Linked DNA regions of Cricetulus griseus. The protein of the gene in region 1 binds, or shares a complex with, the protein of each later gene. Links are inferred from orthologs where the notes say so. Each region holds a gene or a part of one and is shown in the gene's direction. Other genes may lie near its edges.

Region 1 (2,782 bases):
AGCAGTTCTGGGTCCAGGTACTCAGAGGACACTTGTTGGTGTAAGGGACAGTGAATTCCACAGACTTGCTGGCAGGCTGTAAGCTGCAGCAGGAACATATTCCATCCAGCAGAGCCAGAGGGCTAAGAAAGTGGTACAGGTTCTCACAGTGCTGGAGCAGGGTCATCGGGTGGGTGGGTGAGACGCTCAGTGGGGACAGTGGCAGTCCTGCCTACACTTACTAACAGCCCTCCGAGCTGAGGAAACATGGTATTCCTGCCCTTCATCAAGAGAACTCAGAGATTTCATCAGCAAGAAGAGCCTGGGCTGTGTGGGAGCAGGTGGTTACACAGTGTACAAGAGCTGACAAAGACACACTCATGCACACGCTAGGAAATCCTCACGTGTAGTCACGTGCACACACCAACAGATTCTCAGGCACAGGGCACACACACACACACTGAGAATCTTAGTACGGGGAACACTTATGCATGCATGCCTGCACACACAGGCCAACAGGGCCTCATGCATGGGGCACACATAAACACTGAGAGCCTTGGTACAGGGAACAATCACACGTGCATGCATATACCATCAGATCCTCATGCATGAAGAATGCATACACATTGAGAGCCAAATGGAAGGAACGCACACACTTGTATGCACACACAGACAGATCCTCATTTGTGAGGTATATATAAGTGCTGGCAGCCTCATGAGCAAGGCACACGTGTGTGCTTCCACATATGCTGATATTCTCTCTCTCTTTCTCTCTCTCTCTCTCTCTCTCTCTCTCTCTCTCTCTCTCTCTCTCTCTCTCTCTCTCACACACACACACACACACACACACACACACACACACACACGATTCTCCCATGCAGACATGGCACATACTCTGATGGATTCTTAGGCAACCCACACACGTCCTCACACTCACATGCTAGGTAACACCCACACGCTGTCAATCTCCCAGAGTTCCCTTGTCAATCTAAGACAGACCACCTACAGCTCAGTGCCTCCTTCTGCCTGTCACTCAGGAAGGCTTTGGCTCTAGGAAAGTCTCTAGCCACAGGGTGTCCTGCCTCCTTCTGAGGCCTTTGCCTCAGGGAACTTTGCAGTTTAGCGCCCTGGAAAGACACAGGTGAATCCATCCTATTAGCATCTGGCCTCACTCTTCCGCAGCAGCACCTGACTTGGAAGGAGTAAGAAAGTGAGCGAGCCTTAGTCAGGTGTGAAATGGGAATCTAGGCTGTGGGAGCTCACTAAGCAACCTGACGGTGTGAAACGCCTGGAAGGCTCTGGTTCTGAGGCTGCCTCTGTTTTGCAGAGTACAGCATCTCAGCAGCGGCCATCTCCATCTTCAGCCTCGGTTTCATCATTGTGGGCTCCATCTGCGCATTTCTGTCCTTCGGGAATAAGCGTGATTATCTGCTGAGGCCAGCATCCATGTTCTATGCCTTTGCAGGTAGACTGGGGTCCTGCAGTGTCTGGGTGGGAGGGGACTCCCTAGGGCTGCCCACTCCTTAGTGCTCCCCACTCCTTAGTGCTCCCCACTCCCTAGTGCTCCCCACTCCCTAGTGCTCCCCACTCCCTAGTGCTCCCCACTCCCTAGTGCTCCCCACTCCTTAGTGCTCCCCACTCCTTAGTGCTCCCCACTCCCTAGTGTACCCCACTCCCTAGGGCTCCACACTCCACACTCAGGCTCCACACAGGAACAAACTCAGAACCCTGGTGACCCCAGGAAGGCTACAAGGGAGAAAGCTTGCTTTGTTCCCTTTGCCCCACAATGTACCCTTAGGAGGAACACTGAGAAGCCTCCCCAGAGAGTAATTAAAAAAAGAAGGAAGGAAATGTGGCCAGTCTCTGGCTAACCCCCTGCAGGATGTGAGAACTGCATAGTGGGAATTGGTAGGTAGGCATGGATCATTTTTGCAGAAACCACATTAGAACCATCTAGAAGCATTTTTCTCTCAGGACCAGCTCAAAGTCAGGGAACAGAGGTTGGGGGAGGATTGGAGTGGCAGCAGGAGCACCGTCAGTCACTGAGACTCTTGGATTTGTCCCAGGGCTCTGCCTCATTGTCGCTGTGGAGGTCATGAGGCAATCGGTGAAGCGTATGATTGACAGTGAGGACACCGTCTGGATCGAGTACCACTACTCATGGTCCTTCGCCTGCGCCTGTGCTGCCTTCACCCTGCTCTTCCTCGGTGGGCTGCTCCTCCTGCTCTTCTCCCTGCCACGGATGCCCCAGAACCCCTGGGAGTCCTGCATGGACGCTGAGCAGGAACACTAGCTTTGGGAAGATCAAGCCCAGACAAGAGTCTTTTGGAGGCAAGGAGGAAGTTTTCACATTTACCCTGAGCCCTTGTCTATCATGCTCTGTCCTCTCCCTCTGAGTTCCTCTACAAACAGTACACATGGACATGAACTCAAACCTGCCCAGGGTCAGAGGAAGCAGGCAGGCGAGAATCTGAAGGGCCCTCTCTCTTAGGCCTACCCAGCTCAGGCTCGCCCACCATGGCTGCTGTTTGAAGAACTGGTCTGGTCATCTTTAGAAACCTTCCAAAAACAGCCTGTACTCATTCACCAGTTCTGAGCTTCGCCAGCTCCTCCCCCACTCTTCTCCACCACCATATGAAAACCTTTTCCATGATCTGAACATCCTTCCTTGGCTTCCAGGATCCCCAACAGACATTTTTTAACTGGATAGAATCTGTGGTTTGAAATAAAAGATCTCAGAAACTTCCCTTTTTCCTTTGTGCCTTGCATAGCAATTGCTAAGATTCCTGGCACCCTAAACCCT
Region 2 (3,130 bases), on another chromosome or scaffold:
GTTCTGTGCTCAACAACCCTGGCAAAAGGACCATTATCGAGCGTTCCTCTGCCCGCTCCAGCATTGGTGAGGACTCTTGTTCCCACTTCTAGTCAGGATGTCTCCCTTCCTTTCTTCCCCCGCCTGCCCCAGGGCTGCCCTCTTGCCCGGCCCACTTCCAGCCCACCATATAGCAACCCTCAAAGCCCTGAATTAAGCAGTGGGCAGAACCCCTGGTGAGCTGCTCCCCTTCCTCAGCTGAAGTGCAGAGTGAGATTGAGCGCATTTTCGAGCTGGCCAAATCCCTGCAGCTAGTGGTGTTGGATGCTGATACGATCAACCACCCAGCACAGCTAGCCAAGACCTCGCTGGCCCCCATCATCGTCTTTGTCAAAGTATCCTCACCAAAGGTAAGTGAAACTGGAGTGAATTGGGGTCCCACAGAAGATGCCCCCTAGAAAATAGTGCACTTCTGCTTGGGCCCTACCTGGAGTGACCATTTCCTTTGCGCCCTTAACACCACACTGAGTCATCCTCACCTGCTACTTACTAATGTCGTACGGCAAGTTGGGTATGTGCCTAGTTCCTTCCAGGCCCAGCTCTGCCCAAGTCCCATGAGACTCTAGCCTATCTCTGCCCTCCTACTCAGGTACTCCAGCGACTCATCCGCTCCCGAGGGAAGTCACAGATGAAGCACCTGACTGTACAGATGATGGCATATGACAAGCTGGTTCAGTGCCCCCCGGTGAGTGCCTGGGTCAGCAGCACCTATTCCAGGGTGCAGGAGCTGCGGGGCTGCTGCTGAGGAGCCAACCTCCCTGTCTCCTTCCTCTCCAGGAGTCCTTTGATGTGATTCTGGATGAGAACCAACTGGAGGACGCCTGTGAGCACCTGGCTGAGTATCTAGAGGTTTACTGGCGAGCTACCCACCATCCAGCACCTGGCCCTGGACTTCTGGGTCCTCCTAGTGCCATCCCTGGACTTCAGGTAACCCTTTCCCGTGGTCACAAATGTGCAGGCTTATGCAAGGGATTGCTGAGCTGTCAGCTCTGCTTCAGCTTGCTCTACAGACCCAGGGCATGGAGGTCAAGAACTTCCTGATTGAAGAGCAGTGAATGAGATGGGCCTTCCAGGGTCAAAGGAAACATTCTCTCCACACCTTTCTCCCAGTCACTTTTTCAGGGAGAGCCTAAGTTTGCAGGAGCCCAGACTCCAGCTTTATCTGGCCCAGAAGAATGTCCCAGCTTACTTCTTCCTTGCACTATATAAAACAAAACCTGGGAATTGAGAATAGAGGGGGAAGAACCCCACCTCCCTGCCAGAGTCCTAGGATCAAAGGCCAGGTCTGCCTCACCTTACTCAGAGCTATTGTGTGGCCCCCAGAACCAGCAGCTGCTGGGGGAGCGAGGTGAGGAGCATTCACCCCTGGAACGGGACAGCTTGATGCCCTCAGATGAGGCCAGTGAGAGCTCCCGCCAGGCCTGGACGGGATCTTCACAGCGCAGCTCCCGCCATCTGGAGGAGGACTATGCAGATGCCTACCAGGGCCTGTACCAGCCTCACCGCCAACACACCTCGGGGCTGCCCAGTGCTAATGGGCACGACCCCCAAGACCGGCTCCTAGCCCAGGACTCGGAGCACGATCACAATGACCGGAACTGGCAGCGTAACCGGCCTTGGCCTAAGGATAGCTACTGACCACCTCCTGCCCTACCCTGGCAGGCACAGGCACAGCGGCTGGGGTAACCACCTCAAGCAGGTTGGAGTTAAACTGGCATTAGGCTGCCACTAGGTTCAGCTCCCACAACCCCCTGCCCAGCCCCTGGTCCAGGGCTGACTGTGGTCCCAAGGTTCTGGGAGAAGCAAGGGGCCCCCTCACCTCCTGGGCACAGTGACCCCGTAGGTTCTCATCCCAGGTACTAGCTGTGATCTGCATCCTCGGCACCTTCCTCACCTGCACAAGAAGCTGCCCCAGTGGGCAATGATCTCAGGCCAGGATCACTTAGCGGGGAACTTCCAACCAGAATGGATGCCCCTCTAATAACAGGAGAGTGGAAGTAATGGCAATATAATCTAAGCCCTAACAAGGTACTCCACTCACCTCACTGCCACACATCAGAAATGAAACAATCAGAGCTCAACATGGTGGCACTCATGTACCATCAGCTGGGGTGGGCATTTACACCTAAGACAGGAGCAGTGTAGGTGAGGCTGGACAGACAACTCACAGCGGAAGCTCTGGTAGAAAAAGGCCCTCCTCTCCAAACCAGGAAGCTTAGCATCTGGCAAGACTAGGGAACTGGAGCATGGTGAAGCCAGAAGCCAGCCTGGACTGCGGGGGAGGGAGGAACAGCTTCCGGCCCCTTGCCTTTCTCATTCATTTGCCCTTGCATCTGTCATTTCTGTTCTTTTCCCTCCATGCCTCCTGCAAGATCAGGGCTCCCTGACTCATAGCTGCCGCTTGTTAAGTTAGGGTTAGAGAGGATATTAGGACACAGTGGATGGCCCCCAGAGGCTGTCTGCCTGGCTACCCTTGCCTTATGGCTCTAGCGTGTGACCCACAGAGCATGCTCCATCGAGAACCTGCCCCACCTCATTGTCATCTCCAATAAAACACCATGCACAGTCCCTTGCATGTCTCTGGTATGTTGGCTTGTGTGGCTCTATATTACTGTGTGGCCTAAGTCTGCAGAGTTGAAGTATTCTGGCCCCTTCTCTCCAAGGATTCCTGGGAAGGGGAAACAGCAACTGCAAGAGGCACTGTATTTGTGGGCACACCACACCCCAAGCCCGATGTCTGGAGGGAGGGAGGTAGCAGTACAGAAGAGACTTGCTCTGAGAAGTGAGGAAGCATCCTAGTCAAAGCTTCCTACTGCCCCCGCCTCAGGCCAGAGGGCTCCACAAGTAGCTACAACTTGAATTCACATGCTTGCCTACCTTTGAGGGGCAAAGAAAGTATTTGCCTGAAATGGAGGGCAGGGCTCTGTGGTCCTCTTCAGACCTAACTCAGCTGAACCAGCCCTTGAGACCGCAAATGCTGACTCTTCTATCACTGCCATCTTACCATGAGCAAGGGAAACCAGGATCAGGCACAGGGTGGCTGAAGTGTGGCTCCAGGTATCCTGGACAAAGCCCCAAGTTACAGAGAAAA
Region 3 (3,995 bases), about 9.5 Mb from region 1:
ACCAAAGTGCCAGCAACACCATTTATAGGAAAGGAAACTGAAGCACGGAGAATGACTTGTTTGTTCGAGACAGGGTCTCTCTGTGTAGTCCTGGCTGTCCTGGAGCTTGTTATGGAGACCAGGCTGGCCTCAAACTCACAGAAATCCTCCTGCCTCTGCCTTCCCTGTGCTGGGATTAAAGGCAGGCTATACCCCACAACCAGAAAGAGCCTGAGCCCAATTAATGTCGAGTTGCTAGGATCCTATTCCTCGCCACAGACCTGGGACATTTGTTCCTCAGTCAAGGGTAAAGGAAGGACAATCCTAGGTCAACGTTCACGGCATCTGATTTTGAATAGTCTTTCTCCTTCTCTCATCTTCATACTTCCTTCTGTTTCCTCTCTGTTCTAAGCAACAGGGGGACCTTAGTAACTGATGAGGCAGAAGCACTCTTGGGTCCCTGGACAGCATTCCTATTGTCCCTACTGGCCTCTCCCTTTGGACACTCAAACCATCCTCAGCCCCAAGCCAACAGCACTAGAGCCAGGCTGGAGAGGGAGGTCTACTCTGCTGGTTTCATGGCGGCCTTGTTCTCACACTGGGGAGAAAGGAGTTAAAGCTAGGTCCCAGGATCACCGGGACCGGGAAGTTCCGGTGGCCCAAGCAGGAGTCAGTCAGGGAGACCCGCTGGGAGAGTAGTTTGGGACAGAAAGGGAGGTAGTGCCAGCCGGGCCAACCTGCGCTTCAGCGTTTGGTACTCATTGGTAAACGCCCCCACCTCCACCCCAGCCTCAAGGCCGGTTTCCCCTTGGTCCCCTACAGGCTGCCATCAACCTAGGCTAATCGGATGACAGTGGTCAAGCCCCTCTGGGATCAGGAGGCTAGCTGGGCTCCGCCACCCGGCCATTGTCTGCGCGCAACCCGTGGAGGGGCTCGAGGGGCGGGGCCGCGGCGCGGGGCGGGAGCGAGGGAGGGGCGGGGGGAGATGCTGAGCCTTCAGGGGCGGAGGCAGCGGCGGAGACGGCCGCAGAGACCAGAGCGCGAGCCGGGAGGGCGGCAAGGCGGCGAGCGTGCAGCTCGAGGTCGGGCTGGGCGACTGCACCCGGTGCTGGCTGCGCGACGCCGCGCTGCTCTCAGCTCAGACGGCCTCTCCTATGCGCTGAGAGCGCCCGGCTGGGCCGGGCGGGCGGCCGGACGGGAGGATCCTCTCCATGGTCCAGAAGAGCGGAATGTCCCGGGGCCCTTACCCACCTTCCCAGGAGATCCCTATGGAGGTCTTCGACCCCAGCCCACAGGTGAGGGGAGGTGCCGGGCTCGAGGGAAAGGGACCGCTCCTGCGGACCTTGGGATTGGCTCGAGAAGCTCCGGGAAGGAAAGGGTTATATGCCCCGGTGGGTGGGAGAGGGGTATCTGCGCGACCCCCTATTCTCAAGGGTTAATGATCGATTGACTATTGGTCGGAGTTGGGCTGCGGTCCTGCGGAGCGGAGAGGGGGTGGGTCGGATGCCTGTCAGCCTCGCCTCCAGGTCTCTCCGGCGTCCAGGTCCCTGCTGCTGGGGTACAGGCTCCGGCAGGCTGACACGGGGTTGGTGATGGGGGGGTGGGGGAAATCCAGGCCTTGAGAAGAGGAGTTGGAGGGAAGCTGGAGAGCGAATCAGGCGAGGGGGGCGACGCAGAGCACGTTTGGGGGCGCTAGCGGGTGTGGGTGGGGTGGGGGTAGTACTGGGAGACGGCAGAAACGATGGTCAGAGGGCGTTGACAACAGGCCTTCGAAGGCTCAGACACTGGCTTTCGAAGGTGGAGAAGGCATCAGCCCTGGGAGGCCCTTGCCTAGTCACCTGGCCTCCATCCCTCCCTTGGATGTTTCCCTCCCCCCAACACCCACATTGGCTTACCCCTCCCCCTGCCCCAAGGGGTGGGAGCCTCCGAAGTTTGGAAAGTTGGATGGGTGCCAACTCACTGTCTTGGAGGGGAGGAAGCTGTTTTACCTGGGGGAGGGGCTCTGCCTTTTCCCCCCTCTCACTTTTTCTATGGTCCCTGGGTTACCCCCAGGTAGGGGCATTCTTGTACATAGAAAGTCCCCAAAGAATGACCAGGAGGGTATGTGGTGGCCATGCCAGGGGATTTTTCTCAGACTTGTCCTTCTCCAAGGATAGCATTAACTCTTGCATTGCTGTGGCCAGAGTGGAGCAACTGTAAGCACCAGGATGTGATTGAAGGGTGTGTTTGGGGGGAGTCAGGTCAGACCTAAAAATACCTCATTCCTCCACCCCAGGCCCCTTGCAGCCTGGGAAGCAGCTGACTGATGCCTTCCTTTCAGCTGTCCCCTGTCCCTCTGAAGGCCACTCCCTTTGCTCAGCTGGGTTAGGGTAGTGGTGTGTAAGAATATGAGGTTCACTAGGGGATCCTCTTAGGTTTGTAGGGCGACCCAAAACTAGGTTGGCCGTAAGTCCACTTTGAAAGAAGAAGGAGAGAGGATCATGGAAGAGCGTGTGTGTGTGTGTGTGTGTGTGTGTGTGTGTGTGTGTGTGTGTGTGTGTGTGTTAGGATCTTATGTACTCTAGGTTGGCTTTGAACCTACTGATCCTCCTGCCTCTACCTTGGAAGTGTGGAGATTACAGTGTGGGGATTACTATGCCTGGCTATCCAGCCTCCTTGTTACCAGGTCTCAGGAGCCAGAGCTGCAGTGTGGTTGAGGCTCCTCTAGGGTCTTTGGTCAAAGAAAGTCTGGGGGCAGGGGCTCTTGGATGGACATTCTGCCCATTCGTACTGGGCAAGGGCCAAGTGTGTGTGTGTGGGGGGGGAGTGAGAGAGAGCAAAGAAGCAGCTCACTTGTAGGAAGCATAGAGATTCGTGAAGCCTTGGTCCATACCTTTGGCCTCTGAGAGGTCAGGCAGGAACCCCCCACCCCAGTAAGAGTCCAGTAAGATTGATTGATTAGCCATCTTACCTGGGACTGGCAGGACTATGTTCCAGTCTCAGCTTGGGGTGGGGCCAAAGTGGCCTTTTGATTGATGGGCAGGGTTAGTACTGTGGGGAGGGGGCATGGGCCGAAGCAGCTGGGGTGGAAGTAGGGTGGATCCTACCTTGGGGAGGAATATAAACCCTGATGAGGAGGAGGGAGGCTGAGGAAGGTCCTGGTAGGCTGGAGGTGAGAGTGAGAAGCAGAACCTACTCCCCAGGCACCAGGCCACAGGTTGATGTTTACTTTCTGAGCCTCCTTCCTCTTCCTTCCCCAGAAATGTGGCTTTGGGTCCTCACGAGCTGAGAGTGTCTTACCCTCCCTACTCTGGAAAGCAGAAAGCACAAGAGTTGGACTCAGGGGAGGAACTGAGCCTGGCCCTGGGTTGCCTTCCCTCCTCTCTCTGGGGGCACAGCGTGCTCTGCCCCCTCAGCTCCAGATGCAGGGGAGAGGACATCCCCCTCTCTTCCTCCACCCCCAGCACTGCAGGCAGCCTCTCCCTTCCCCCGAGGCTGCTGCAGCCTGCCCAGCATCTTAATTAGCTTTGCTGTCTAATGAACCTCCCATTTCTCAGGCCCTTTGCTTCCCAGCCTTCGGCTTGATTTGGGGATCCCTGTGTGTGCCGCCCAGGCTCTCTTGCACGGTTCTTCCCGGTGGCTGTTGTCTGGTGTCAGTGAGGTGGAAGACCCTTTTTCCTTTCAGGCTGGCCACCTCTAGAAGGAGAGGAGAGGGGTGAGGCAGAGCAGAGTGTCCCGGGGCTAGGCCCTTAGCACAAGCCCCTGTAGGAGGAGAACTGGGAAAGGGTCTTTCTGATTTCACTCTTGTTCCTTCCCCACCTCTCCAGGGCAAATACAGCAAGAGAAAAGGGCGGTTCAAAAGATCTGATGGGAGTACATCCTCGGATACAACATCCAACAGTTTTGTCCGCCAGGTAACTGGGGATGATGGCTTGGGAGGAGATGCAGCTGGTTGGTGCAGGCTGGCCTGCGACTTACTCCAGGCACCCCATCTCATATCGTTTGTCACCTGCCTGGAACCACCACAACACTCTGAC
Region 4 (4,060 bases), on another chromosome or scaffold:
CATCTCAGTTACCCTTAAGATAAGTGGGTACTTTATTTCATCACCATAGTCAAACACAGTATAAAAAGTTTACCTTAGTAAAAGGTCCTCCTATGTATTGCAGCCTGCACAAATGTTATGTTGTGTTGCTACAAAATGATTGACACCTAGGAAATTTGTATGTAGATTTCCAGTGCAGAGAGCAGTAAAGTTTGTCAGAGCCGAACCACCTTACAAAGCGAAAAGCTGTCAATATTAGAATGGAAAATTACTCTTCTTTCTCCCTCCTCCTCCTTTTCTTTGTTTTTAAATCGAAAATTCGTACAATATATTCCATTTATAGTCCTTCTCTTCCATCTCCTCCCTAACTCCCCATCCATCCAACACTAAACATGCTGGCTTTAGCCACTTGTCAAACATTTCAAGGTCTTTAAAACCGTGCAACCCCTCTTTTTGTCTCAAGGGTCACATTAAGACTTCTCAACCATGTGTGTGTGTGTGGGGGGGGGGGGATCCAGTCTGCTAGCAAAGAAGTGCTACTAGCAAAGACAACAGAAACAAAACAGGTCATCACAAAGCGAAAAGCTAGGGCACAGGTGTCATGGGTTTGAGCCAATTGTCAGATCAGGATCATGTGGGAGGAAGCCTTAGTTCATCAACAGCACTTGCTTTCTGCCTCAAGTGCTGCTTTTTGCAGAGGCTCCGGAGTCTGTCTGCAGCTTTTTCTGAATCATAGAGACTGTCAATTTAGAGACCAACCCTGGGGATCTTTTCCCTCCCCTGGTCCCCGGGAAGAGGAGGTGAGTTGAGCGACTGGTCCTGTTACCTCCCCAGGGAGCCCCGGCTGGCTTTCGCGTCTTCAAAAACTTTCCAGCGCGAGTGCCACGGCGACGGGCTGCAGTTGAGTCGGAGCCCACGCCATCCGCGAGGAACTTTTCGGAGTGGCAGTGGCTTGTCACTCTCGCTTTCCGACGCGCCTCCCCCTGGCTCGCGCTCCCGGAGCGCCCTCCCTCCTGGCGGGGACCTTCCCGGGAGACCGCCCGCCCCGCAGTCCGCGTCTGGGCCGCTCGCTGGCCCCGAGGCCCCAAAGAGCGTGAGCCCCTCTCCTTGGCCACCCAGCCGCGTGCCCGCGCCGCTGCCTCTAGGCTTTGCAACATGCTCCAGCGGCGCCCCGCTCACTGAGAGCCGCCGATCATAGGGCGAAGAGGAGCGGGGGACCCGGGGCGTGGAGAAGGGGACTCGCCGCCTTGGAGCCGACTTTTCGCCGATGGTCCAAAGCGACACGTCCAAGTCGCCTCCCATAGCGGCGGTGGCGCAGGAGAGCCAGATGGAGCTGCTGGAGAGCGCGGCTCCCGCGGGGGCGCTCGGAGCACAGGTAGCCACAGCGCCGCGCCTTCTGCTGGCTTTGTGAGCCTCGGGGCTCCGACCTCAGTCCCTCCCGCCTCCTCCTCCTTTCCTGATCGCAGACCTCGCCTCCCCCTCTAGTTTGGGTCTGCTTCGCCACCTCCTCCCCCATCCCCGGGCTGACCCGGACCCTGCCCCTGCGCGCCTTCCCTGGCTCTGCTCGGCTTCCATTTTTTTTTTTTCCTCTTTGCTTTTTGAAAAGCCAGTGGGAAGGGGCGAGGACGACCTGCCGCTCCGCCCCGGCTTCTCCCGGGCCACGCCGCTCGGCGGTCCGCGCCCCTGCCAGGGAGAAGCACATGGAGAGCTATGGACCAGGCGAGCGGACTGGACCGGCTCAAGATCGTGAGTCCGGGCGGGAGGGAAAGGGTTCCGCATCCCGCAGCGCTGTTTCCGGCCACTGCCTCTGGTGGTCCTCCGCTAGGAGCTGGGCGGGGAGGTGGGATGCTCTGAGGGGTCGAGATGGGCGTGGAACCCCCCTGCCTTGTCCCCTGAGATCAGCCTCTACCCCCCCCCCTTGGCACCTGGGACTCTGTGCCACTCAGACAGTTCAGCTGTCCCCTGAACCTCCTTTTTCCTTTGCTTTAAGAAGAGAGCAGAGAGTTGGGGAGGAGAGAAAGTTTTTGTTTCTGTTTACCCTGAAATGGCAAGCCATTCTAGCCGCTCCTGGGTTCCCTTCTCTGATGAGTATTAGCGGTTTCTGGAAAAATTCTGTTCCGCTGTTCATTGTGAAATAGGAGATGTCGGTTGTAGGCGTTGGGTGTGATAAGGTAGCTTTTACGTAAGGCTTTGGCAGGTACAGTTGGTATTCCAGACACCCCCAGACCTGGGGTAAGGAGTCTCTCTCAACTTTTATTCTTGGGGCAAAGCCTTCCGGCCTGACACTTGGGTTAGTTGGAGAGTACTAGGAAGAGACTAGGGTGAGTCCAGGAGGGTGCTTCCCCGTTACTTAATGGCTTTGGCTTGCTGATTGCCACCCACATTTGCCAGGTTGTAAACTGTGATATGTGTGCACATAATTAACACATAACGTAAAATCTACAGGGGACGAGGGTTTACTCTGTAGTAGTGGGGCATTCTGAGAAAGGTCACAAATATGTATGTAGCTGCTGCTCTGGTAGTATTTCTGTACCATGACAATGGTAACCCATGTGTATAATTCAAGCTCCTTCGAACTCCCTCTGTGTGTTTCTGACTTTGCTTGGGAGCATGTTTGCGTGGGTGCTATTCATTCACATGTGTGTTCATGTGTGTGCAGGCCGAAAGGTTGTATTGCTGGGTCAAAGGGTTAGTTGCAGAAGGCCGGTGGGTTTTCTCCTTCAGCCATGTGGGTCTCAGGGTTTGAGTACAGGTCCTAGGGCTTCCTGCCTATTGCTGTTACTTGCTGAGCCATCTTGTTGACTCTTTATTGAGCTCTCTTTGACCACTGGAAACGGCATGTTCTAACTTAGAATGCACAATTTACACTGATTAGAGATAAAGAGAAAACATGGACGATATGGACTTGTAAATCAGAAATTCATTTCTTTTGTGGTGGTAAAGCAGGTAGGTAGGCTTCAGTCTGCCTGGCTGTTGGCTAACAAGCCTGGTGGGGGATCTGTAATTAACCAGCACTCTCACAGCCAGATTCTGCCAGGGGATCTGAATTTGAACCCACAGAGCTCACGTTTGTTTTAGGCTCCTGATTTTATCATGATACTTGCCAGCTGAGATGAGTTAAAAGATGTACTCAGAGACTTAGGTTGTGCAGGGATGAAGTGCTTGAAGATTGGGAGAGGAAGGTCGTTGTGATGTCTCTTCTCTTTGAAGTTTCTTTACGTAATTTGTTTTTCTTTTTTAAGAATTTTTTTTATTCTTGTCATAAAAATAGGAGTTTTGAAATTTTGGCAGTCAAAGTTAGGGTTGATAAATTAACAGAAAAAAGTAACTGTATTTAGGTGAGAGCACTAATTTACCTGATTATTTCTAATTAAATTCAAGGCAGCAAATACCCAGTATATAGCTGGGTATTAATTGGAATTAATCTAAATTGGAATTAATCTAAATTGGAATTAATCTAAAGTGGACAGGTAGAATTTTCTCCCTTCAAAGAATTTATACTCCTGTAGTTTCATGAGTGGCAAAGGAGACATTTGTGTCGGTGGGTCTTCTGGAGAATGCAGTAAAGGTCGTAAGTCTTGAGTTATCTTCAATATTTGACAAGGGAAGTGGCATTTGAAAGGGTGTGCTAGATTTCAACCCAAACTTTGAAAGACATAATGGGAGCCACATGTAAAGCTATTGTAGAAATTAGATGTCTCTATAGTGTGTACTTGTAATCTCTAGTGTGGAAAGCAGGGAAAGCGTTTGATTGGGTAATGCCAGGCATCAGGTTGGAAAGGCTATTTGAAGTCACATGTTGGAGACTTTGAATAACAGATCTGTGGAAAAGGTTCAGAGACGGAGCCACGTGACAGCTCACTGGCCAGATCCACAGAGAATGTTCTGAGAGTGCAGAGGCAGAGCTGCAAGAAAGGGGGTGGGGTTAATAGATATTCAACACTTTGGGCAAGGGCTAAAAATGTCTAAACTCGAAAGTGATGAAAAGATCATGGCTATGTTAGGTAAGCTTGTAATCATCAGACTTCTTAAACACCAAGCCAGGACTACACGGATATGGGATAGAGATTAAAAGAGGTAA
Region 5 (3,517 bases), on another chromosome or scaffold:
TGTGTGTGTGTGCATGTGATTATATGTGTGTATACATATGTGTGGGTATGTTAGTACTTGTGTGCATGTGTTTGTGTGTGTGAGCACAAGCATACAAATGTGTTTTATAAACTGATACAACTTTAACTCAAAGGCCAAAACCCTGTCTAAATGGGGATTACTGTCATGATACTGTCATTGTTCCAACATAATGAACATAGCTTTATGCTTCCCTTACATTTCCAGGTGCCCAGAAGCTGGGGACTCCATGAGTTGGGGAGAGGGAAGGAAAGCAGGATATAGGGACACTATATGGTCTATTTTAAAAGCTTCCTCCAAGTTGGTTTTGTCCATGTGCCCTTGTGCCCATTGGTGGAAAATGAGGTTTCTCTTTGTGTCCTTCTGCCACCTCCAACCTGTTCTCTCTGTCTCCCAGAGATGAACAGTCCCACCACACAGTGTCATTCTTTTCAACAAACACATCCCATCTGAGCAGTGGACAGTGCCAGAGAGTCACAGTGACAGTGGGGATGCAGGGTTACCCTCAGGATTCTCTGGAGCATTTGGGGATGGAGAAGACAGACATGGGAATCGTTAATCAGTCTAATGTTAAACAGGAGTCAAAACACCCTGCTTGAGATTGACAGGGCGTTATCAGTGGGCCTATTTCATGGTAAAAGTTCAAATAATGATGTTATGACTACTGGTTTTGTCTAGGTCTTAATGATAGACACTATACCTCAAAAACCTTATTTCACACTGGCCTTTAGGTCGGTGCATTGAGAGGGCACTGGCGAATTCTGGCTCTGTGAAGAACACATCATCATTGTCCTCTCTGCTCTAATGGGAAAGCCAGAGTGACTGAATCCAGAGAATATGGGTGGCAGAGTCTACACAGTGGATGATCAGGATTGCACTCAGTTGTAAGGTCCTGAAGCTAGAGGGAAATGCATCATGTCAAAGGAAACGCTCACTAAAATATTTCCTATACCAAGTCTCAGTGAGGTAGACGGGATTTGAGCTTCGAGAATTTTAGACAGAACTCACTGGGAAATATTAGCTTCAAAGTTACTCCGAAGGCAGAGGGCTGACCCTCCTAGTAACTCCTTTTCTTGTGTCCACAGGCATTGGCAGTGGCAGGTTTGAGTCCCCTCCTGCAGAGAAGCCATTCTCCTACCAAGATCCCCAGGGCATGCCCCACACCCCCTGTCACCCCTGGCAGCCGGGGCAGGCCCCTACAGCCCATCCCCACCCTACGACTGGAGGGGGCTGAGTCCAGCGAGAAACTCAACAGCAGCTTCCCATCCATCCCCTGCAGCTCCTGGTCTGACGAGACCACTGCCTGTAGTGGGGGCAGCAGCATGGCTCGGAGAGCCCGGCCTGTCTCCCTCACCGTGCCCAGCCAGGCTGGAGCTCCGGGGAGACAGTTCCATGGCAGTGCCAGCAGCCTGGTGGAAGCGGTATGTGAATTTGAACTCCTGGGGAGGGAGAGACTCCAGAAAACAAGAGACTTTTGTGCAGATGTGGAATCCTGGCTCCTTCCCAAGTAGACTAGGTGTCAAGTGTGTAAACTAGGGAACTGCTGAAGGAAGGCCTGGCCTGCAGAAAATCACAACCATGACTATACAAGTTGATAGCCACTGGGTGTAATGAACAGGGAGAAAGTCCTTAGTAAAGCACGGGGCCAGTGAACCCAAGAAAGGCCCTGCTGCCTCCCAGTGTTCACGCATGCTGGGACTTGTTCCTACAAAGAGGGCCAGGGTTCAGTGTGCTCAACTCTCACTGCTCAGGAGAACAGCTCCCCAGAGCTTTAGAAGCTTGCCAGAGGAAACAGGCGTTGTCAGGGCTCCCAGTGACTCTAACGCATGAGTGGCCAAGTATAAGATGGAATTTTTTTCTCCTTGGCTTCTGTTCCTCCTTTAGAGAGTTCAGTGTCACAAGTCCTCTGCCCCGAGGAGCATCGATTCCAACCCTAGCATCTCATTTTTGGAGCCTTTGACAAACTGAAACAAACCCCAACGAGTGTGGCAAGGTCCTTAGAAACCATCTCCTAGGAGAACCGGTGGAGGGGAGACCTTGCCAACACAGCTGTCCCCACTAAGAGGACTGTAAGGGAGTCAGTCTCTGCCATCAAGCTGTGGCTGCGTCTGTCCTGTGGTCAGATGGACCTGGGAGTGGAGTTCAGTCAAGTAACTCTGGTCCTTCCAACTCGGAAAGGCTAAGTCTTCGCTTGAGCTTGCTTGTTCTTGCTCATCTCAAGTCCCAGAGACTCTTACTAGGTGCAGAGACTCAGGTGTAGTGAGACCTCTGGGAAAATGGGTTTTAGCTCTCTGTGAGCTCCCACTGTGGTGGTGAGGGCAAACAGGTGAAAAAATAAGCATGCTAGGGCTGGAACAGGCGGGGTAGCAGTAGAAAAGTCAGGCAAGGTGAGGAGAGAGTGACTCGGGCAGAGGGGGAGGAACAGGGGCGAGGGAGAAAAAGACCCGCCCTGCCTGCCATATTCTACCCCTTAGCTCAGAGACTTCGGAGTCTTCCTTCAGCAGTCGCTAAAGCAGCCAGCAGGAAGGGTGGGCACATGCTCCCAAACAAAAGCAGACCATGCATCCGACACAAGGAGCCCTGGAGTTGCAGACAGCTGGCCGGGGTGGGGGCAGTGGTTATCACCAAATGAAAGTGAAGGCTTCTTGGAAACGACAACGTGAAAGATGGCTTGGGGGCCAGAGAGGAGAAAAGAAAAGGAGGCAGGCTGTGATCTGCCTGCGGAAAAGCAGAGGGGAGTCCGCACACAGCTCCTCTGCAAGTTCCTCCTCGTTTTGTTTGAACCCGCCTGCCTAAAGCTCCCTCCTCTGATCTGTGCACGCCCACTTCCTTTGATCCATACCCCATCTCTACTCTCCAGTGAGTGTCCCTCTTAGCACACAAATACAGACACACAAACACGCATACACACCCCCCACATACACACATGCATGCATCCATGCATCCGTACACACACACACACACGGCACATGTTATGTACACACACAGATGCTTTGCTTCTCAGCAGCCTGCCGCTTCATCCTTAGGGAACTTTGAACTCCAGTGACCACGCCCCTCTTCTGTCTTCTTGCCCCGCCTTTTCAGGTCTTGATTTCAGAAGGACTGGGACAGTTTGCTCAAGATCCCAAGTTCATCGAGGTCACCACCCAGGAGTTGGCCGACGCCTGTGACATGACGATAGAGGAGATGGAGAATGCGGCAGACAACATCCTCAGTGGGGGCGCCCAGCAGAGCCCCAACGGCACCCTCTTACCTTTTGTGAACTGCAGGGACCCGGGGCAGGACAGGGCTGTGGTCCCAGAGGACGAGAGCTGCGCATATGCCCTGGGGCGAGGCCGGAGCGAGGAGGCGCTCCCGGACAGCAGGGCCTACGTCAGCAACCTGTAGTCCACGGGGCTGGCGAGACGCGGGTGTTTTTTATTCGTTTCAATGTTCCTAATGGGTTCGTTTCAGAAGTGCCTCACTGTTCTCGTGACCTGGAGGTAACCGGAACAGCGTC

What was found.
Region 2: Cacng1 (region 1) and Cacnb3 share a complex: the UniProt entries of both Homo sapiens proteins name them as parts of the calcium channel complex. The link is inferred for Cricetulus griseus from reciprocal best matches to the Homo sapiens genes CACNG1 and CACNB3.
Region 3: Cacng1 (region 1) and Cacnb1 share a complex: the UniProt entries of both Homo sapiens proteins name them as parts of the calcium channel complex. The link is inferred for Cricetulus griseus from reciprocal best matches to the Homo sapiens genes CACNG1 and CACNB1.
Region 4: Cacng1 (region 1) and Cacnb2 share a complex: the UniProt entries of both Homo sapiens proteins name them as parts of the calcium channel complex. The link is inferred for Cricetulus griseus from reciprocal best matches to the Homo sapiens genes CACNG1 and CACNB2.
Region 5: Cacng1 (region 1) and Cacna1c share a complex: the UniProt entries of both Homo sapiens proteins name them as parts of the calcium channel complex. The link is inferred for Cricetulus griseus from reciprocal best matches to the Homo sapiens genes CACNG1 and CACNA1C.

What each region holds. Positions count from the first base shown.
Region 1 is NC_048600.1:120,670,491-120,673,272, reverse strand, and holds the end of Cacng1 (voltage-dependent calcium channel gamma-1 subunit), read left to right. Parts: intron 1-1,306; coding exon 1,307-1,444; intron 1,445-2,045; coding exon 2,046-2,272; downstream 2,273-2,782. UniProt on the Homo sapiens protein: Regulatory subunit of the voltage-gated calcium channel that gives rise to L-type calcium currents in skeletal muscle. Regulates channel inactivation kinetics.
Region 2 is NC_048595.1:395,121,445-395,124,574, forward strand, and holds the end of Cacnb3 (voltage-dependent L-type calcium channel subunit beta-3), read left to right. Parts: coding exon 1-66; intron 67-237; coding exon 238-389; intron 390-628; coding exon 629-724; intron 725-816; coding exon 817-966; intron 967-1,362; coding exon 1,363-1,677; 3' UTR 1,678-2,625; downstream 2,626-3,130. UniProt on the Homo sapiens protein: Regulatory subunit of the voltage-gated calcium channel that gives rise to L-type calcium currents. Increases CACNA1B peak calcium current and shifts the voltage dependencies of channel activation and inactivation.
Region 3 is NC_048600.1:111,151,351-111,155,345, reverse strand, and holds the start of Cacnb1 (voltage-dependent L-type calcium channel subunit beta-1), read left to right. Parts: upstream 1-1,190; coding exon 1,191-1,274; intron 1,275-3,785; coding exon 3,786-3,872; intron 3,873-3,995. UniProt on the Homo sapiens protein: Regulatory subunit of L-type calcium channels. Regulates the activity of L-type calcium channels that contain CACNA1A as pore-forming subunit.
Region 4 is NC_048596.1:218,168,531-218,172,590, reverse strand, and holds the start of Cacnb2 (voltage-dependent L-type calcium channel subunit beta-2), read left to right. Parts: upstream 1-1,246; coding exon 1,247-1,354; intron 1,355-4,060. UniProt on the Homo sapiens protein: Beta subunit of voltage-dependent calcium channels which contributes to the function of the calcium channel by increasing peak calcium current. Plays a role in shifting voltage dependencies of activation and inactivation of the channel.
Region 5 is NC_048601.1:26,325,585-26,329,101, forward strand, and holds part of Cacna1c (voltage-dependent L-type calcium channel subunit alpha-1C), read left to right. Parts: intron 1-1,103; coding exon 1,104-1,439; intron 1,440-3,102; coding exon 3,103-3,405; 3' UTR 3,406-3,517. UniProt on the Homo sapiens protein: Pore-forming, alpha-1C subunit of the voltage-gated calcium channel that gives rise to L-type calcium currents. Mediates influx of calcium ions into the cytoplasm, and thereby triggers calcium release from the sarcoplasm.